Arabidopsis thaliana: one gene and its partners. The gene in region 3 interacts genetically with the main gene of each other region. Each region holds a gene or a part of one and is shown on either strand. Other genes may lie near its edges.

Region 1 (4,771 bases), on a different chromosome or scaffold from region 3:
CTTCTTTGTTGCATTCACCGAGGCTTGCCACAATGATCTAAACCGTGACATAGTTCTGAAGTTGCTGGATCAATGGGAACAACACTAACTGGTTAATTTCTTTCCGGAATGAAAATGGAGAATAACCTTAATATCCCATAGATTGATAACAAGAGGTTGCAAAAGAGAAATGAAAGATCATCTCTTTGGAAACTCTAGCACAACGCATAACCCAATGAAGAGAGACTTAAGCAATTTTACTGCAGCCCTATTCGGAGCTGAAGTTATAGGGTTACTTGAATCCTTGGGTTGAGCAGAACCCATTAATGGATTCCCTGAAAAACCTTACATTTTCCCATTGAGGCATTTCAACAAACACTTGAAAGACAAGAATTGATAAAATCACATCGACCCACAGACAAAAACAAAAAAGACCAACGACCAAAGAAGAATCCATAGGGAATTGCACAAACAAAAACAAGAGAAATCAAATCGTCAAGACAAAGGATGAGTTTGGTTTCACTTCACCTGAGCTTTCATGAAGTTGTCCTTCCCTTGAGAGTCTTCTTGCTAGTCCCCCTCTTATTGTTGAGACCTTCTGTTCAGGTTAGAGTGTTTGACACTAAGTTAAAACTAAACGGTGTCGTTTCATAACTCCCATCTCTTTGCACGGCCCACTAAGGCCCAACACTGTCTTTTGGTCGTTACAATTTCTTCTAGTAACTAACCTGAGTTCGAATCAAATGTAATTATTAATTTCTTCTATAATCAACGTTAAAACAAGCAGCAACCCATAACAATTTAGCTACCAACCGAGTTTATATAAACACTATAATATCATAGGATTGATGTAATGTAAGGAACAAGACAGAAGTAGAAGAAGAAGTCCCATGAAGTTTGCTGAAAAGACACACCGAGTGACTTGTCAATCATTAGCGTGTCGGAATCAATTAACAAGCTTAATTAAACTTAGCAAAGAAACTTCTTTTCTTTGATTATAATGATTAGAACTTCGTCCTACGTAGGAAATTAATTTATTTTGGTCTTACTAATTATACTTATCTTCAATAATTATTCTGCGCGTCCTTTTCGTACCCACCTCGGAAAATTAATGTCAGTTATTTTATCTACCAATTTATGTCTATAAACGTATATTAATGCACATATGTTGGTGTAAGTAATGCCAATTAGTACAACAAACTACAAATTTATTAGTATATCGACTAATTAACCTGTAAGCTTTAATTTATTTTGTATGGCTGAAAGTTCAAGAATATTAAAAGATAAATATATAATGTCTGCAACTAGAAAGGAGAGTAGGGACATGAAATTGGGACCAGGTCACCAACGCGTCATGAGAGCGACCATTATTATTTCCTTAAAAGAAATTGCATACGTATTTTCTATTTTATACACACACAAAAATAGATTTGAAACTGACACCATACAAATGATACGCAAAAAAAAAAAAAAATGAATATCGATGATAGAAATCATTGCTAGTCATATTTTGTTTATATAAAGCAAAATAAATGAATTGGACTCATCATATTCAACCAACTTTTGTTTATCGAACATCATCAAAGGCCTTCTTTATTATGTCATGAGACTCATGACTCATATGAGAAAGATACGTTACGAAAATAGAAACAAAAGTTTACAAAACCGCCATAATAAAATAAATATAGAAACAAAACCTACCAGAAAACTTAGTTTGTTTTCTTGAAATCATTGCATTCTTTTTTTATGTATATTACAATTAATATAGGTACTGAAATACATTTTGAAGGAAAATATATATAAAGATTGTTGTTAGTAGAAATTTATTCTTGGTTGGTCTTAACAAAGTAAGAAAACTACATATGCTCATCATCATCATAAAATTGCTCAGAAAAACGGAAGCAAATGACATGGTTTACGAGATCACGTTTTGATCACACACCGCATCGAATGAAAATACAAATCAGCAACAACAAACAACAACAAAAAAGGTATATATTATACGAAATAAATGTATAAAATCAATCGGTCGATGTCAATAAGTATAGAACTCAGCCAATTCTTCAACGGATCCTCCTTCTTGACCAGACTTGAGCATCCACAGCAAGTGCTCGAACAAAACGACTTCACAAGCTACAACAATCTCACGATCTTGTTCGATGGATCTAGAAGAAGACCGATCCACGAGTTCTTGAAAGAGTGGGTGAGAGATGATGTCTGGTCTAAGCATGTAAGGTCTTCGAGTTTGACCAACGTAAACCACATGGAGATTGTTGTCTTCTGAGAGTTCGTCGGAAACAGCGGCTGAGGAGGTTGAGTGGTGGTGGTTCTTGGCGAAAGAAGGCCATTTCTTCATAGCCGACTTAAGCTTTGTCAGCTTCCCAACTTTGGCCATTGCTAACGAAATTGAACTTTTTTCTTGGGGTTGGAACAAGAGAGTTGTTGAAACTAGCTAGGGTTTAGGGTTTACGAGGAGATTTATATGTGTTGATGTGAGTGTGTGTGGGGATCAAAATATTGGAAGAAGAAGAGAGGAATGTTTGAGAGATGTTCTTGGGAGGAAATAACGAGGAAGGTTCGTGTATATATATTGAGTGAGATAGAGAGAGAACGTATAGGTGCATGACCCACCGATTGATGCATAACAGCTAAGAGAGATGAGGACATAAATGGCAAAACTAGTATCGTTTTTTGCCCATTGTTTTTTCTTTCTTTTTTGTTGTATCTTGTAATTATATATTGAGATTCGTAATAATTTTAATTTTGTAATAAATTTTGCCATATTCATTCATTTATTTTCATGTTACAAATTACACTTGCTGATAAGAAAAATATTGTAAAATTATGATAGATGGATGAGGGAATGATACGGTCTACGAAAAAACTGATAAATACGTTCTATTAAAAAAAACAGATATAACAAGTGATCATTACACCATTAATTTATTTGGCTAAATATATATATATATATATATCAATAAAAAATACATAATAAATAACATTTTATCTAATTTAACATAACAAAACTATTAAATTATTTGATACAATTTTTTTTCCTTTTTATATATATTTGATACTATATATACACACTATTTCTCTTACCTGTGACATTTTGTTTTGCCTACATAAATGTCAGACACCACAAATCCAGTTTTGGAAATGCTTGCTTGATAAACATTCATGTTTGTTGTATAATTTTTTTTTAAATTGTATTTTGTATATTATGATGTCTTATAGTATATAATAATTTGTAGATATATACATATACGTGCGGTGAGTAGAGATGTGTAGGCAACCTCTTATTGCGTGTTGTTGTCTAATGATCGGACAAAGAGCGATGTTTTTTAGATAACGATTACATCTTGTCCACAATTTTGTTCAATATTACCCGATAATGCTAATTTTTTGTCGTTCATATTATCATGTACTATAGAAAACAAGTATGGTCTTCATCTGTCGATTTACCTTCGATTTTCTTCATTTCATATTAAGAACATAAATTAGATATGAACATTCAAAAAGCATACTATAAAATTAAACTCGTAAACTCATATAATTTACACGGTAATTAGGTTTTATTGACGGATGCAAAAACTAACCACAAGCATATTATGCTCTTTTCGACAAGACACAGTCCTTTTATCTAGTGCAAATGCATAATCATAAATATTGCTCATTCTTTTCATAAAGTTAGTTTGGCATTTCCGAGAAATTAGGTGGAGAAGACCTTACCTTACCGTCTGTCTTTTATCGAACAAAAAAAGTTGTGGATGGTAAGCTAATCATTTAAGGAATTTTTAGATACTTCTTTTTTATAAATGGTCGAACATATAGTACTTGTTTATAGCAAAAGAAATAAAATAGTAATATAGTACTCTCTCATCATTAAACATTAGATAACTATCTTTATCTTAATGTACTTATGTAGCTAGTAAAACATCAAACCAGACCTACAATTTGATCAAGAGTGAAATATTTTATTTTTGAATAGTGAAGATCTTAGAGAATTTTTGAAGATTTGAAGAAAGGAAAATGATACGCGCATATATGCAGCATATACATACTGGCATCACACGAAACAAACAAGCAATCTGAATTTAGGAATACTAATTACTTCCGATTCGTAATCATTGCAATGATTAGCATAAATCGAGTTATGCTATAACTTAATTATATAAAGGTAGCAACATGTATTACTTAATATTCTAAGGTGTGATACTTTTAGAAATTCATTTTTTTGGATTAGATTAAATATTACTAAAAAGGTTAGAAACTTAATTTAAGAGAAATTTTCGATTAGTTGTATTAAAAACAAGCTAGAGTCCAAAATTAAAGTAGAGACAAGCCAGTTAGGATGGTGTTGTTCATGTTAAGTGCGCGACAATTGTGCAACTAATCTACTTTTATTTTTTTCGACTTCTATATAATACGTCTTTCATACATTTATATACTTCATATTGTAAAAGAAATTAGCATAAAGGTAAACACTAAACAGTCACTGTTTTCTTAAAGTATCTCTGTCTATAAATTGTTAGCGTAGTAGTTGAAAATTGTTGCCTAATGTATATTATCGATATATTAGAAGGATTTATTGGTTAATGAATTTTTATTGATTTTAAAATTCAAAGCAAACATAATTTTATATTCGTGTTTAAATAATGGTCTACTGTTTCTACCAAAAAGAAATAATGGTCTAGTGTTTTTTATTTATTTGACCTGATCCATTTATGGATTTGGACATATTTCAGAAATTTTTTTCATAATGGGTTTAGGTTGGAAATGTTTTTTTTTT
Region 2 (4,790 bases), on a different chromosome or scaffold from region 3:
AGGTACGGCAGGGTTGAACAGAGTCGTAATAACAGGAAAAGCACAGAATAACAGTTACATCTTGTAAATATCCGACTCATACCTTTGTAAAGATCCACGTTTCTTGTTTTCTTTTTTTTTTCTTTCTTTCTTTCTATTCTTAGCAAAATAGATTTCATTCTTGTTTTTTCACCACCACCCACAAAGTTTGATTCTGTTTTTCTGTTTTTGGTATATATAGAGGGTTTGGTTTGTTTGTTTTTCCATTTTTTTCGTAATTTATTAACCGCCAATTCATGCGCGGCAATAAATTGTGTTATTAGACCTTTGAATCCATTGTGTTGAAAAGTTACCAACAAACTAAAACATAGCATCCTGATAGAATTATTGCCAAAAGGTTTCTTTAAAGGTTAGAGAGGCCTGCGTTTCGAGACCGGCTAATTTCTAAGAAATCTGGCCCCAAAAATATTTATCTTTTTGCACCCGAAAACACTTTATGTTAGACGACAGGAGCCTCTGTAGTATACCACCTAAGGCTTTCTTGACACGTCGTGTAATGGGCTGACTTCAGCAACACACCTTCCTATATAGAGTACTTAAAAATGTGGACAAAAGAAAAAGTGTAACAAGATTAGGATTTTTTTAGATGCTTCATGTTTCAAACTCTTTTCATTAAACAAAATCTTTTTAATTGGCTGGTTAAACCAAGGAAAAGGTGTAACGCACTCTTGAAGAACAAGAACATCCCAACTGGCTAATTTGCTCTTGCAACTAACTTATTTGTTCAGAATATTTTTATTTAATTCTTCTCATTAAATAATTTGATTTTGTTGGCTGTTGGCTGGCAATTGTTCGCCCACCAAAACCAAAAGCTGTCGGATATTTCTGAGATTAATAAAAAAAAATATACAGCTCTTTTCTTCAATGTTTCAGAATTCAATTCGATGAGGTTAGATTAACAATAAAAGTTCAATCAACTGAGTTAGTATGTTATACACTACATTGTCTACGAGAACCAGGGGTTCTGTCTACAGTTCAGAATATACCAAACGAGTTCTTGATTACAAAATTGTAGCATCACAATGTCAACATTTATATATTAGTATTTTTAAAACGTATTATATTTTCGAAGAAATATTTTAGTGTAGTACATTGAACCGATCACAGAGTCAAATGCACATAAGCAGGGTATTGTTTACGTGCGATAAACAGGTTTATATCTGGATTCTTTTTATACATATATATATATAAATCATCACACAGATTACTACTACTAATTAATCAACATTAATCACTATCACTAAGGTATTTAACTAATGATGATCGACGACTATTTTGTTGTTTGATTTCTCTTAGGCTAAACTATTGATAAAAACAAGTTTGGATCACTTTATAAAGGTTTTCTATACTTCTTTTACCAATTAGCTTATCTCCCACAATGTGCAGTTCGATCAAAGACAGATGCTTTTGTTTTATGACTTCAATTGTCGAATTAGTTTTTATTCAAGAAAGTATAAATTTAAATACGTACATATTAAAATATATGGACCGCTTGTGTTCAAAAAAACATATATATAATAACTAAACTACAAGATTTTGTGTGTAATAATTAAAAAGCTAAATTACTATACACCCTATTCTTTCGGCCAAAACCGTAACTTTAAGCGCGACACTAAATATAATTATCATGGAGATCTTATCTCAATCATGATGTAATCTTTATCTAAAAATCATCGATCACCCTTGCTTGGTCCGATTCATTGCACAACAAGACACAAGAGTAGATTGTCCAGCCCACATACACACGTATGCACATATCAACATGCATCCACACACACTTACACATAATATATAATATAGATTATTAAATAAAATTTAGAGCAAGGGGACACCAGTTTTACAGATTTTGTAGCCTCCTTTATCTTTCTTAGCTGTTCTCTTTCTCTCCCTGTCCCTCAATATAAATACAAAGAACCCAATACTTCCTTCTTACGTACCAAGAAAGTTAGTTTCTCAATTCCTGATAAAACATACACAAAACAATAATCTTAATTTCAAGAAACTACTACTATTGCTAAAAATCAGAGACTTTCGCTAATGGCTATATTCGGTAAACTGACAAAGCTCAAGTCTGCCATAAAGAAATGGCCTTCCTTGACCAAGAACCACCATTCAACCATGTGTACCGCCTCTACCGCCGTATCTGAGGTCTCAAAGTGCGAGGATCTCCATGTGGTTTACGTCGGAAAGTCACGAAGACCTTACATGCTTAGTTCCCACGTCATCGCTCATCCGCTTTTCCAAGAACTACTTGACCGGTCGTCTAGATTTATCGAAGAACGTCACGACCAAGAGACCGTCTTAGTAGCTTGCGAAGTCGTATTGTTCGAGCACTTGTTATGGATGCTCAAAAACAGTTCCTCTGATCACGGCGATGAGGATGATCGCGAAAGAGGATCCGTCGAGGAGTTGGCTGAGTTCTATACTTATTGACGGCGCGATACATATCCATATATACTTTTATTTCGTTAATTTTGGAATTTGATTCGACATGATCCAATAATGCGGTCATGCACAGACCATTTTCTTTGCTTTTGTTTTTCTCCCGAGCAAATTTTTAGAGTTAACTAGTAATCTTTAACTAATATTATAATTATGTCGGTCGAAAGAGGGTAGTAGTATCTTGCCCCAAATGATGATAAATTGTAACATATGCTAAAATTGTTTTTTATGATTAGCTCCATTTGATATACATGTACTCTACAGTAGTACGTAGTTATGAGATTTTCGAAAGAATAAAAGTGGCCGCCACATGATGATGCGCAGGGCTACCCAATTGCACGGACGGTTGTCCTACTTGCCTTTCTAGTGGCATCAAGCTGTCACGGAAACAAATATTTAAGTATAAATTACTAACTACGTCTATAAGTGTATCCAAGTTGTAATGTGAAGTGAAATTAGGTATAAACTTCTTGGAGTAATTAATTAAACATGACTACGATGTGAGTATGTATGGCTCGTAATCATAATGGTGGTTTTTAATAAAATAATAAAATATAGGATGCTCATTAACTCGACCAGCATAATTATTTATGTAGTTCTTAATATCTCATGTCAAGCTATAGCCTATATGTAGATAATGGGATATCTTTGCCTGAATATAAACAAAGAATTATGTATTTCAACGTTGAAAAAAAATTCGTATTAATTGAATCTGTATAAAAAAATGGACACTTTGTGGATTTACTATTGGGGAATATATTGGAGAACTTGGGCCAAATAGGCCCATTTAATAAGATTGGTCTCGCAAAACGGCATCGTGGCGTAGAAACAGTGACGTGCAGCTTGGTGGTCTTCAAGTTTGACTGTTAATCGGTAAACAGAGGCTGATTGTGCGACGGTGACGGCAAATCCAGTGAGTGAGTTCCTATCATCTTTGCTTCGTTTAGTGGAAACTCTAAAACTTTAGAATAGTTTTAGTTAGTCTTTAGCATTTGGCTTGTTCTAATTATCAGATCTTCTTGTTCTGAGATTTTTCTTTCCTGTGCATTTCGGAGCAGAATATGAATTCATATGGCAACCTTTTTATTAGCGTCTGTGATATATGTCGGGTTTTTCTGAAGGATTTGGGGACAATTTGTTTTTTCACCAGCTGCATTTGTGATTACCTTGATCGATTTTTGGCTGACAAGGTGTTTGTTGAAAAGCTTCAAAGGGTAATAATAGTCTTTAGTCACTAGCGTATGGTTTCTGTTTAGGATGCGTCAACTTCTGATATAGCTAACCTTGCAAAGACATTACTTTTTATACGTTTTCTGGAGTCTGGTTCTGATCATTGAGGTTTTGTGTGTGTGTCATTTAGTGTTTACCATTGAAAAATTGGAGCTTTAATTCCTAACAGTCATTTTTATATATCTTAGACAAGCTTTCTTTGTTTTCATCTGGGAAAGCAGCTACAGAGACATGTCAAGGTTTCGATCGTTGTTGCAAGCCTCAGTAAATGCGACAAAGAAGGGTATTCGCCTGCCACTTTTCCGTCAATTATCATGTGTCGTACTTGATTCTTTGATCTTTTGATTTTTTTTTTGGTTTGTGTGTTGATGTTTCGTTTTATTTTGTGCTTGTGCTTATACTTATTAGACAGTGACTGATTGCAAGTGATGTTTGAGGAAACAATAACGTTGCTTCTATGTTCCAATGCTTACAAACTTTTGGGATCACATATATATTTCTATACTAGCCTTTATGCTTTTGAATGCAGCAAAGATTTGCTAGTTTCTGACTTATCTTCACCCTGTAAACTGTTAGCTCTTACATGGAACGTTGAAGAATGGGTGCCACCTGCAGAGAAGCATATATTTAAGTTCCACTCTAAAGAAGACTTAAAGAAATGGCATCTCTATTCCGACTCTGAATATGGAGGTACTTATGCTGACAGGTTTAAGCATCTGCTCCGTAAAGAGTATCTGATATTGTTTCTGTTGTCATTATCCCTTTCATTTCCATGCCTCGGTGATCCATATGAACAACTATAGACAAAATAAGATTTCTGAAGATCGGCATTGCACAGATTTACATTGATATGTAAACAATATGCTATGCATTTTAATATTTATCTTGTGGCAACCTGTTTGAAGTTTGATACTTATTTGACAGGATTATCTTCGGCTTCCTTGGAGATCCCAGATAAAGGAGATGGATCAGATTGCACTGGTTAGCAACTTTGTAATTTCTTCTGTGATCTATCATCGGCCCTCCAGCATGTCTTGTTGTCATGAAGTTCATCAATAAAACAATATGAGATTTCTTCT
Region 3 (7,164 bases):
TGATATTTTATCAAAAAGGAAGCCCTAAACCGCACTCAAAAGACAATAATAATTAATTAGCCAAAAGTTAACAAGAGCAATTAACAAATAATACTTTGAAAAGGAATCCATAAACGAGCATTATTAAAAGTATAACTAAGACCACAAGATAAAAGCATTGCTTAGGGGTCCTAAAAAAACAATATAAAAGGATTTTTAAAACAATTAGTAGTACGCCGAGGTACTGCTTATCACATAAAAAGGAATAATTTTATAATTCCCAAGATAAATATCCGTTGTAGATGGTCCTCACTTTAAATAACACTCAAATGATAAATTGATAATGCGTATATGCATTTTTTTGTTAAAAGTTTTATTTTTCTTAATTTTACATCTTAATATATTGATAGTAGAAAAAAAGATTGAAAATTAGGAATAAATTGATATCCAATAACCATTACAAACTTCTGATTTTCTTTTGTCAATTGTTTGAGAGAAACGAGAACTGAATTAAAGCTAGAATGGGGATTTATTTTTTGTCGTTTGGTATTTGTTAATATCCAATCCAAATAAGTACATTTTAAAAAATTCGAACATCGATATGTCGAACATAATTTATAGCGTTACGTGATGTTCGTTCTTAAGACTACACAAAGCATTAAATAACATTAACTTTGGTGTTCGTATAGATACTAACATTTAGCAATCAAACGTTTGGTGTGGTGGTCTGGTCTAAACTTTAGTCTTTAAGAAAAAAACGTTTTTGCTGTCAAATAAAGTTTTTGCCGTCAAAAAAAGTATTTTTAAATAGACTTTTTGTTTATATCAAAAAACAAACAAAAAATACATTTGATAAAATACTAACTAAATTACATTGACAAAAAATAAATAATTAATAAATTTCATTTGATTTGATACAATATTATTTCTTTTTGGTTGACAAAGAAATGTCCAAAATATACAATGCTTGAAACATTCAGTCTGAATAGTAAAACTAAATAAAAAATGTCAAAAAATAGTAAACAAAGAATAAAAAGTTAGAGCAATAGATTAGAGAATACAAGCGATGAATTTTGACAAAATATGATGAATTTAATAATGAGATGCAAAAAAAGAATTGTATAAATATTCAGAGAGAATTTACTCAAGACAAAATTATAAAATTAATTATTATTAAATCTAATAAACTTATGTTATTTTTTCGCTAAAAATGCGAAATCATTACGTATAAATAGTTTCGAACCAACCAATCTCCAAACTAGGCTAAATAGAGAAAACTGACTCAATTCTCATCACTGTAGAACCGAGACAACAACAACAACAAAAACATTTCCCCAGAGAGGTGTCTCTATGCTTCACATCTTCAAAGAATCCTCACTCTGCTTTTCTTCGTTTCAAGATTTTTGCTTTTCAAGATTCATTGATATCTGCTTCCTTCTCTGAGCTCGAATCACTCGCTCGCGGTCTGCAAAGCCCGTCTAAGCTCAGAAGCCATAACATGCAAAAGAACCGGTTTCTGGATCATACCATTCATCCCCATTTGCAAACATCTTTCCCTAACATGATCTTCAGTACTAGCAGTCAAAGCTATAATCAATGGCCAATGATGTCCACAAAACTTCCTTATCTTCATTGCTACTTCGAAACCATCCATCTCCGGCATCTGCAGATCCAAAATCACAACTCTATACGACATTTCCACATTTGACAACGCATTCAAACACTCAAATCCAGACGAGACAGCAGTTACTTCGCAGCCGAGTTTCTCAAGAAGTCTCTTAGTCACGGTTCTGTTGACATCATCATCGTCTGCTAGAGTGATTCTTAGACCACGAAGAATGGAATTTGAATTCGGATGTTGAAGCTCTGGAGCATTTCCTGCTAAGATTGATCTCCTAATCGATGGTCTTGTCTGAAACCTCAGAACTAATTGCATACTCTGTGTTTGTCCATGCGATTTAGGTGATATCCATATGTTTCCTTGCATCATCTGCAAAACAAATTTCAAATCAAATACACTGTTTATAATTAGAATCTCTATATACCAAACAGAAACAGAGACATGATGAGATCACTAACCTGTGCAAGTTTTCTACACATGCCTAAGCTCAAGCCTTCCTTAATCCCATTGCTATGATATCTTCTGTTCGGAATATGTCTCATAGCCATAGCCGAACCATCCAATGGAGGATTCTGAATCTCATTAATCTCAACTTCAAATTTCACACCGAGGGAATCATCGGACATATGGGACTTCCACATTCCAGTTTCTCTTTTGCTCTTGTCCTGACTTGTTCCAGTACCTTCACAGATAACTCGGAACGTAACGGTTTTGCCTCCATCAGTCATATCCAAGATATACCCAAGCATATACATCACAAGCTGAAACGTTCTCTTTTCATCTCCTACTACTAAATTAGGCAACCGCGTTTGAACATCCATCTCAAAACCGTAACCTTTGTAAACGCTTAAGCATTTAGCAACACAAGCGGCTTCTCTTATCAAGGAATGTAGCTGGAACCGTTTAACCTCTAATGCAGATTTCCCGTTATCTTTAGGCGAAATGTCAATCACGTCGTTGATTAAAGCTGAGAGAACTGTGCTTGTTTTCATGAGCGCATCAACGATGATTTTCTGGTCAAGACTCATACTTTCGGACTGAAACATGGAGAGTAGACCAAGAATTGTGTGCATTGGTCTCCTCATTCCATGACTCATCACTTTCTGGCAAGTGTTCCTCGCTTGACTTGCCATCATCGCGTTCTGTTTTGCTCGAAGTAAAGCTCGGTTTTGAATACCGAGTTTTTCTCTCATTAACTGTGATTCTTCAAGAACTGAGGCATGAGAGATAGCAACCGCTACTTGATCAGCAACAACTTCCGCTATCTCGATCTCTTTATCGGTCCAAACCCGTGAATTCGCACTCGGAAGTACCAAAACCATTATAGCATAAGGAGTATCCACAAACTCGGGAGTGCCTCCTTTGAAATTCAATCCGTGAAGCATCGGCATCCGAATTGCAGCAACCGGTCCAAACTCTTCCGAACCGCCACAACCACTGCTCTCAACCGCAAGAACAGAGTTTTTCCTCAAAATTGTCACTACTTTGGTCTCCCTAACCTGAACAACATCGGGATCATTAATCGGGATTACCCTGAAACTCCTCATCGGATTCGCTCTAAGCTCATGAGTCAAATGCATCTCGGTTCTGTTCTCGTTAGGCATCCAAACAGCAGAGTTCTGTAAATCAAGAATCTTGGATAGCTCAACGAGAGTAGTCCGCAGAATCATATGCTTATCGAGCGATTTCCTGATCTCCCGAGTAAGCATTCTCACCTGCACACTCATTTCCTTCTGCCTCTTCATCAATCCAACCTCTTCATTAAGCTCCAACACATTCTGCTTCAAGTAAAGCTCTCTAACTTTCCATTTCAACAGCAACGGAATCAAAGTCAAGAGCGTGATAGCCGTGGCACACGAGACAAGCGCCGTGAGGAATTTAAAGATGGTAAGCCAAAGCATAAGCTGGAAAGAGTGTGGTCCGTAATACGTCCAAGCGTTAAGCAAATGAGTCATTCCACATAGGACAATAAAGGCAATGAATTGAACAAGAACCCATTTGAAAGGAACATTGGAGAAGCTAATGAAGTAGAGAAGCTCGAGAGGTATTGAGAAATAGGCAATGGCTATTAAGAGATCACTCACTCTTTGACATTCTAAGATGGTGTGGACACTTAAGAAACCTTCGTCGTCACAATTACAGCTCACGTAATCGTTATCACCAGAAACCAGAGCAAGAAGAGCAAACAGAAGCAATCCAAGACCTAAAGATCTTAACATCTTCTGATCCAATCTTTAATCTCTCTATCTAAAACCCTAATCAAATCCAGCCACAATCTTGAGGCTCTCTACAAGTTGAGATCCAATGAACCAATTAAACATAACTGACTTGGTATTCATAGATTTCCACAACGCGTAGAGACCAATGAGATTAAACAACTCCAAACACGCATACCCAGAAGAAGGCAAAGGAATCAAGATCTATGTTCCTCGATATTCGTAGTACTGAGAAAAGAAACCGCCTTTGAGTTTTTTTTTTTTAAATTCCAGGGGAAGGTAATCAGAGAAAAACGAAAGCTAAGATTCAAGCCAATAGAATAGAGAAAGAACACACCTCTCGAATCTAGTAAGATAAATAAGAAAGACCCATCTCCATTTGTAGCAACGAAATCGAGTCAATCTGACATCTTTTTCACAGAAGTTGGAGAAACAGAAGAAGTGATTAGAAAAGAGAAGAAACCGAGTTGGTCCGGTGGTGGCAGATCTTTTCCGGGAGTTTCAGTTGCGGATTTTCAGACTTGAGTCAACAATATTCAAAGTTTTTTTAAGACAAAAGCAGCAGACTTTTCGCTTAAGCAATTTCCGGAGAGTTGCTCAAGTCCATAAAAATGGTGGTGTTTCACTTTAAGCTTAGATGTCAACAAAAAATTCCCATTAAAGATAAGAATTTTTAACAGTAATTTTTGGCTTCACATAAGTTATAGCATTCCAACATTATCAATCAAGAAATTTACAAGTTGACAACTTGACATAAAGTTACCAAGAATTTTAAACTAAATCAATATTAATATGAATAAATAAACAGAATTCTCAAATGAGTTTTTTTGTTCTTCGTCAAATGAGTTAATGTTTTGGTCCAAGTAACGGCTCATAGGAACCGTTTACTAAATTAAGATAGGTTATGAATAATTAACATAAGTAGAAACCGAACAAACGAAGTGTATATATTTCACAAAAAGAGCATTTCCTTTTTTAGTAACAAACGAAAGAAAAACCAAAAAAAATATTATAAGAAAAGAAAAAGAGTATAAAAAAAAGGAATGAAATTGAAAGTGAAGGAGAATCGTTACTGAAAGTATAAAAAAAAGGTTGTGGAGTTAATATAATACACCGTACCAAGAAGAAGAACAAAAGCAATCACTCAGCAACTTCTTTCTATGATTAAAGACCCTTCAGACGAGTCTCTGTCTAATAAGTCCTCTCTCAGTTCAGATTCTTTGCTCGCCTTCTGTTTCTCTACTTGGGATCTAAACTCTACACACTTCTCCTGGAAGCTCTGCTAATCCGGTATTTGCTGCTCGTAATCTCCATTCTCCGACGACTCATGTCCTATCCTTCCTGCACAAGATTACATCCATCAGCGTTTCAAGCCATTGCCACAACGGAGAAGAGCTTTAGCCTGTAATCTTCTAGAACTCTACAAAATACTAATTTCCACCAATCTCCATAGCAATTCTAATCTGTCCTTGTTTGGATTTAAGGGTTTGAACTTTGATGAAGAAAGATGACATCTTTCGAGAAGTTTTGAGCTTTTTTGTTACCTGACAAATCATACCCGCCACCGCCTCTGCCATCATGACCGCTGTTGCCTCCTCCGCGCCATTCAGATGGCCTGGAATGTGTCATGTGTATCCCCTGCGGCGCTTGCATCATGAAATGATGAGGTCCACCCAAACCGGCTTGATGATGATGATGATCATGTTGCTCGTCGTTTCCCCTCATTGGATTTCTTCCCGTAGATTCCATACCAGGAGGGAAACCCATGCCAAGCAACTGTCCAGAGCTTACAGGAGAAGTTAACCGACTTCCACTGTTTGAAGCATCCCCTTTCCCACCACTCCCGGCGGCATCCTTCTTTCTATCAAGCTGAAACGTACCAAGAATCACCTGCATTTGCACAAATCTAAGGCGATCAATCAAAGCCAGACCTCCTATCTTAGGAAATGATCAGTTTTGTGTAAGATGGTTGGAAACAATAACAATGTTTCAATATATGCAAGTTGAAACTATGATACAACAGAATTGTACCTGAACCGGGCCAGCAGCTGTGAGATGGCTACCAATCGCTCCACCGATGATCTGACCATCTGAAGCAGATAAAGAAACGCTAAGGCCGCCGGATTTACCACCTTGTTCAGTTCGGATATAGGATCCAGATAGTGAGAGAATCTCGTATTGACCCTGAATAAATTTTTTGAAATTTGAGGCAAGTTTAACAATGATATGCAAACTTCAAAGAAAGTATCTGAATTAAGAATCTCTTTGCTTTATCAACATGCTAACTGTATTGTGTATCAATTTTCCTCTATCACACAGAATAGAGAGAAAGGATCAGAAAGAAAAAACCCTCCTCTCCCCTTTGGAAAGAAACAACAAAGAAGCAAGCTGAGTACTATTTTACTGCAAGAGAAAATCACCTCATATGGTAAGTTGCCTCCTGATGGAGCCGGTTGGCGCAAGGATGCATTAGAGATAGTGCCTGATGCAGAAAGAACGCATAGTTCATGCTTGCTTTGGTTTGCGAACATCATAATTTTCTGGACCACATCCTGACAGTATCACAAAGAGAACACTTAGAATCATTAAGGATCCTCCTCGATTTGCATTAGTATCAATGAAACAAAAAGAGAAATAGAATGACTTAGAATTGAAAGAATGATAGATATTGTGCCTACACCAACAAATCTCTATTACAAGTAAGGATCTTGAGTGTACAAGAACATGACATACCTCGCCAGGAGCTATATTAACAATATGCGGAGTAAAACATTGTCCAGTTTTCCCTGCACCAACAAAAAACTTGTAGTAAAGCTCAGAGTATAACACAAATTCCAGAATATAACTAAAGGATCACTTGAAAGATACTCAATGGGATCTAAAAAAGAAACAAATTGATAAACTATACAAACAAGAATCTAACTACACAATCTTCAGTGTAATTAAGAAACTCAAGATGTAAATCTACTGCTGTAAATTATACATAATGCTAATTCAAGGCACTTACGTCTCAAATCACACCAACGAATTAACAGCTAAAGAATCAAAATTTAAGAATTGGGAGATTAATCATTGACCTTAAAGTTGGAAACTTTAGATATCAAATTGACCAACGATAAGATTCAAAAGAAGAAAAGATTAAACCCACCGACAGAACCAAGCTGAGATTTCTTGGATGACCCGGAATTAGTCGATACCGTACCACCGGTAACAGCAGCAAGCTCTCGCCTCTGTTTAGCAGACGAACTACTCGCAGAAGACGCCAATTTCTTAGCCGCTAGGGCTTGTTCCGGCGTCACATACTTTCTTGGTCGACCCCTCTTCCTCTTTACCGGCTCCATCGGCGCC
Region 4 (4,157 bases), on a different chromosome or scaffold from region 3:
AGAGTAAATACAAGTCAAGTGATAAAAAATCTTAAAACATTTATTTTGTTTTGATTCTCTTGTTATCCTTTAATCATATACTGATGGAAATTGTTAATTAGGGATGATTACTTTGGGGTGTAATTGTAAAATCAGATTATCTTTGTGTTTTCCTGGTTTCTTTATTGATTCTCCATTCTTTTTTCAAGGGGGATTTAAGTTTTAGGACATGTATGTTAGATGTGAAAAAATTTGGTGGTCAAAGTGTGATACGAAACAAAAATATAACTTCTTGTACGAAAACATGTTCACATTTCTTGTCTTCTTCTTCGATGTTGTTATCGAAAATTGTTATGTGTGACAATCAAGTAGACTAATGAATAATATGCAACAATGTGGGGAAGATGGATTGTGGTCGAATTGTCAAGAACTGGTCGGATTTGGTATATAATTCGTATACACTACTTACGATTGTTTGGGCCGGAGCTAACAGTTAAAGAATTCTCCCAAACAGCATGCACTCGAATTCAGGAAAGACACAACTTCACCCTTTGCTATGGGACCAAAGTCACCAAGCACTACTTATTTGGTTTTCCATGTGTTTCCAATCTCCAAAAAGCGGTGTACCCCATTCCAAGTCTTGCATTCGTCTGTTAGCGATCCAGTCAGAAAAAAATTTCGTTTCTAATTTTTCACATAAAGCCTAAATATGTTTAATCGTTTTTTTTTTCATTCTGCATTTTACCAAATAAAATCAGTTTCTTACATGACTTTTGCCAAAACAAAAATTAAAAAACATCACATGTAGATTTAATTTATTATATTTTTTTTTCTCAGTCATCATATTTCTTTTGCGACTTTAAAAGATGCAAATCCGTCTAGACTTTATCAAAATTATTTATCTATATAATACGTTCATTGTTTAATTGTTTAGTTTGTATGTTTATGTGCAATTGTGCATGACATGCGTGTATACGTATGTTTTTATGGAAAAAAAAAGATACACGGATAAATTTTATAAATATATTTAAATACGTAGGGGCCAATCAATCTAAAGTAGATAAGATGAATTGATTAGGGTTTGAAATTTTGTAGCCCGTGATTGATCTAGTTCACGAAGTCAGTCAAATACAACATTGACATTGCAATTAGTTTTAGCTCTTTGTATAACCATTAAAAAATCATCATTTTTAAACTACATTGCAACTTGCAAGACAATATTTACACATTTAAACATTTATTTTATCGTTGTTGTATCATTTAACAGAAAATAGATTATTTCACGAAATACTATGTAAAGTGTAAAGTATACAAAGTGTAGAATATACAAACATGTAACATTTAATCATAAATATATTTTGAACCTAAATTAATCATAAAGAGTTAACAAGCGTAGAACTCGACAAGTTCGTAGACCGACTCGGGGCGTGACTCATCGGCGTCGGCGTTCTCCAACATCCAAAGCAAATGCTCAAACAAGACAACTTCGCACGACACAGAGATGGAACCGTCCTCGCTGCCGCATCCACCATCCACCGCCGCTAGCTGCTGGAAGAGCGGGTGGCTCACGACATCGGAGCTCACGTGGTATGTCCTCCGTGTTCGGCCTACGTAGACAGTTTGAAGGTCTTCAGAGGGGAACGCACTCACGGCGGAGGATCGGCTGTGATTGGTTTGAGCTGGTGGCTGGTTAGGCTTGGTGTTGAATGAATTGAGTTTCTTCAAAACTGATTTCAGCTTCATCAGTTTGTTTCCTCCTTTCGCCATTACCGATTCGGTTTGGAGAAGTTTGACGTCGGAAATGTAAGTCCGAGTGAGTTTTCCGGTGAGAGAGAGAGAGAGAGAGAAGCGAGGAAGAGGAATGTCGATGTCGAAGAGAGAAAGGAGAATGATGTTCTTATATAACTTGCTAAGGGTAGATTCGTAATTATAGTATTATTATTTTCAGTATAATTTCATGGTTTTAATAAGTTTGAGAACGTTTAGGTTATCAACCGATTTTTGAATAGCCATTATCCAATGATCTAAAAGTTTCCAAGAGCCGGAAGCAATTATTCGAAAAGATTATGATTATGAATTGGAAAGATAAAGCTAAAAGTATATATTAAAACATGCAAACCCACATCACTCCAAAAGTTTTTGTTATCCCAGTCAACCATATACATCATCATTTCCCCATAACCATTTTCTTAAAACTAAATTTGGCTAACGTTTTAACTACGTTGTGGTAAGAACCTTCGAGACTTCGAGTGTGTAAAGTGTAAACTTATATTTTGGATGAATTTTTGTTAAGTTTGGATCTTCATCACATTTGTTTTTGTGTCATTTCAATCCAAATGATGAAGTAACGAGTACCACAAACTTACTAGATTATATGTTCTATTCAATATGTACTTTTCTTCAAAGGATTTTCATAGTATTTATTAGAAACTTTAAATATATTCTCTTTTCTTTCAACGAATTTCAGTTAGATATTTAACTACGACAATTTTTCTTCTAAAAATTTATGGAGTTCCCATTTTTCTCGTTTATATAAAATATAAATTTCTTTGAATGAAGATCATAACAATATAAATGAAGCTGTGAACTTTATGTAATCACTTGATTATAATAAACTAATCCAACAACTAAAGGAGGTTCATGAACTTCTAAAGCGGCTTATTAGTTCTAATTAGTTAGGTAAGTAATTGGCTATCTCTGCTTTTGATTAAAAAAATTATCTTCTCTTTTTTTACACATAACATGTTACAATAACAAATACTATAAAATTGCAAAATTTTGTCATTTTGTTGTGGTTAGATTAGACTCCGACATTATTCATTTGTGAAGTTTATTTATTATTTACGTAGTATTGGCTTCTACTGTTACAGCATGTGAGTTCCGGAAGATTTGTCTTCTTCTTTTTTTACGTAAAATTGTTTATATCATAATCAGCCGACACAAGGGCATCAAATGTCTTTCTAATCATGTAACCAAAATATTAATATGAAATTGGACCTCCTCCTAGTTTGTCTACTTATAATTAATTGAAAAGTTTATCAATCTTCGTAATAAACTAGACATCATATTAATTAAAAGTGTGAGATTTATAAAAGATTGGCGGAAGAGTCCAAGTAAAGATAATATAGAAGAAATTAAGATGAGAGCAACGACCAATCACAGATTTATAGTATCAAATAAATTTGTTAGTGAAAATGTCAAGTTCTCTATTTTTGGGCGGACTCGATCACCTGCCAAAGCGTCAAGCTGTACTAGAGGAACCGTTTAGACGACTGAAGTTTCTTTCCCAAAAGGCCAAAAAACGTTGAAAAACTATCTTATAATGCATATGCATTCATAGTTTACGTTCACCATTGCAGACATATAATCTAAACCTTTGAAAAACCTAAAGCTAGCATGGAACTTACTCATAAAGTTGATACAAAGCTTTAGTTCTTAATATCAGAATTGCCTTAAACAAAGGGGAATGCACACACATGTGTGTTCCCCACTATTTAAGTGGTGCATAGCCCGTGGACAATAAAACCAAACATTTGTTTTGAGGAAACATTTATAAACAATACCAAAAGTTTAATAAATACTTAAACCGCTTCTATTCCCTCTTAGTGTATGTTGGTAAGCGAGGACCCATTTGGATCCTTTGATGTCTTTATTCAAAATATTGTATCATTAAAATATATATTGTCGGAAACCCAAAAATTCTCCCTATATTATTATCCCTATTTCTTCCAAATTATTATTACCTAATTAGAATCAATTTTATATCATACTTTCATAAATCCATGTCTTAATCACAAGGTGGAGAATCGGAGATACATGTAAATGATATGGACTAATCATAAGGATTATAACTCTGACACAAGGGTTATAAAAATGAGAAATGCTTCGAATCTATAATCATCAGAAGAAATAATATCATCCAATTTCTACCAACTTAGGTTATTTGATCAAGTTGTTCCACACATATATTATACAACATCGACATGAAAATCCGTCTTGTTACAAAGATTGTTGCACTATACATGTGAGAAAATCGACCATCGTCAAACATACCAAAACAGAAAAGACATGTGCAACAAGTTGGTGTGTATTGACTTATGCGTCCCTCTCCACTTGCATACTATTAATGACACTCTTAAATCTTAATACAATATGTGAATTATTTGATTGTAGCACAA

The links.
Region 1: of EIN4 (region 3) and AT1G72430, extra expression of one rescues a mutant of the other (dosage rescue), as found in Arabidopsis thaliana (one study listed by BioGRID).
Region 2: of EIN4 (region 3) and AT1G17345, extra expression of one rescues a mutant of the other (dosage rescue), as found in Arabidopsis thaliana (one study listed by BioGRID).
Region 4: of EIN4 (region 3) and AT5G20820, extra expression of one rescues a mutant of the other (dosage rescue), as found in Arabidopsis thaliana (one study listed by BioGRID).

Annotation. Positions count from the first base shown.
Region 1 is NC_003070.9:27,263,136-27,267,906, forward strand, and holds AT1G72430 (SAUR-like auxin-responsive protein family), read right to left. Parts: upstream 2,672-4,771; 5' UTR 2,375-2,671; coding exon 2,015-2,374; 3' UTR 1,467-2,014; downstream 1-1,466. Other genes in the region: AT1G72420 (NADH:ubiquinone oxidoreductase intermediate-associated protein 30), read right to left, coding at 1-51. UniProt on the Arabidopsis thaliana protein: May be involved in the regulation of ethylene receptor signaling. Promotes cell expansion and plant growth.
Region 2 is NC_003070.9:5,938,449-5,943,238, forward strand, and holds AT1G17345 (SAUR-like auxin-responsive protein family), read left to right. Parts: upstream 1-1,843; 5' UTR 1,844-2,076; coding exon 2,077-2,472; 3' UTR 2,473-3,077; downstream 3,078-4,790. Other genes in the region: AT1G17350 (NADH:ubiquinone oxidoreductase intermediate-associated protein 30), read left to right, coding at 3,943-3,994, 4,288-4,401, 4,636-4,692. UniProt on the Arabidopsis thaliana protein: May be involved in the regulation of ethylene receptor signaling. Promotes cell expansion and plant growth.
Region 3 is NC_003074.8:1,234,147-1,241,310, forward strand, and holds EIN4 (Signal transduction histidine kinase, hybrid-type, ethylene sensor), read right to left. Parts: upstream 4,471-7,164; 5' UTR 3,820-4,470; coding exon 2,059-3,819; intron 1,970-2,058; coding exon 1,430-1,969; 3' UTR 1,063-1,429; downstream 1-1,062. Other genes in the region: AT3G04590 (AT hook motif DNA-binding family protein), read right to left, coding at 5,099-5,157, 5,361-5,706, 5,848-6,000, 6,237-6,368, 6,550-6,602, 6,965-7,164.
Region 4 is NC_003076.8:7,045,549-7,049,705, forward strand, and holds AT5G20820 (SAUR-like auxin-responsive protein family), read right to left. Parts: upstream 1,899-4,157; 5' UTR 1,747-1,898; coding exon 1,363-1,746; 3' UTR 1,199-1,362; downstream 1-1,198. UniProt on the Arabidopsis thaliana protein: May be involved in the regulation of ethylene receptor signaling. Promotes cell expansion and plant growth. Involved in the regulation of cell elongation.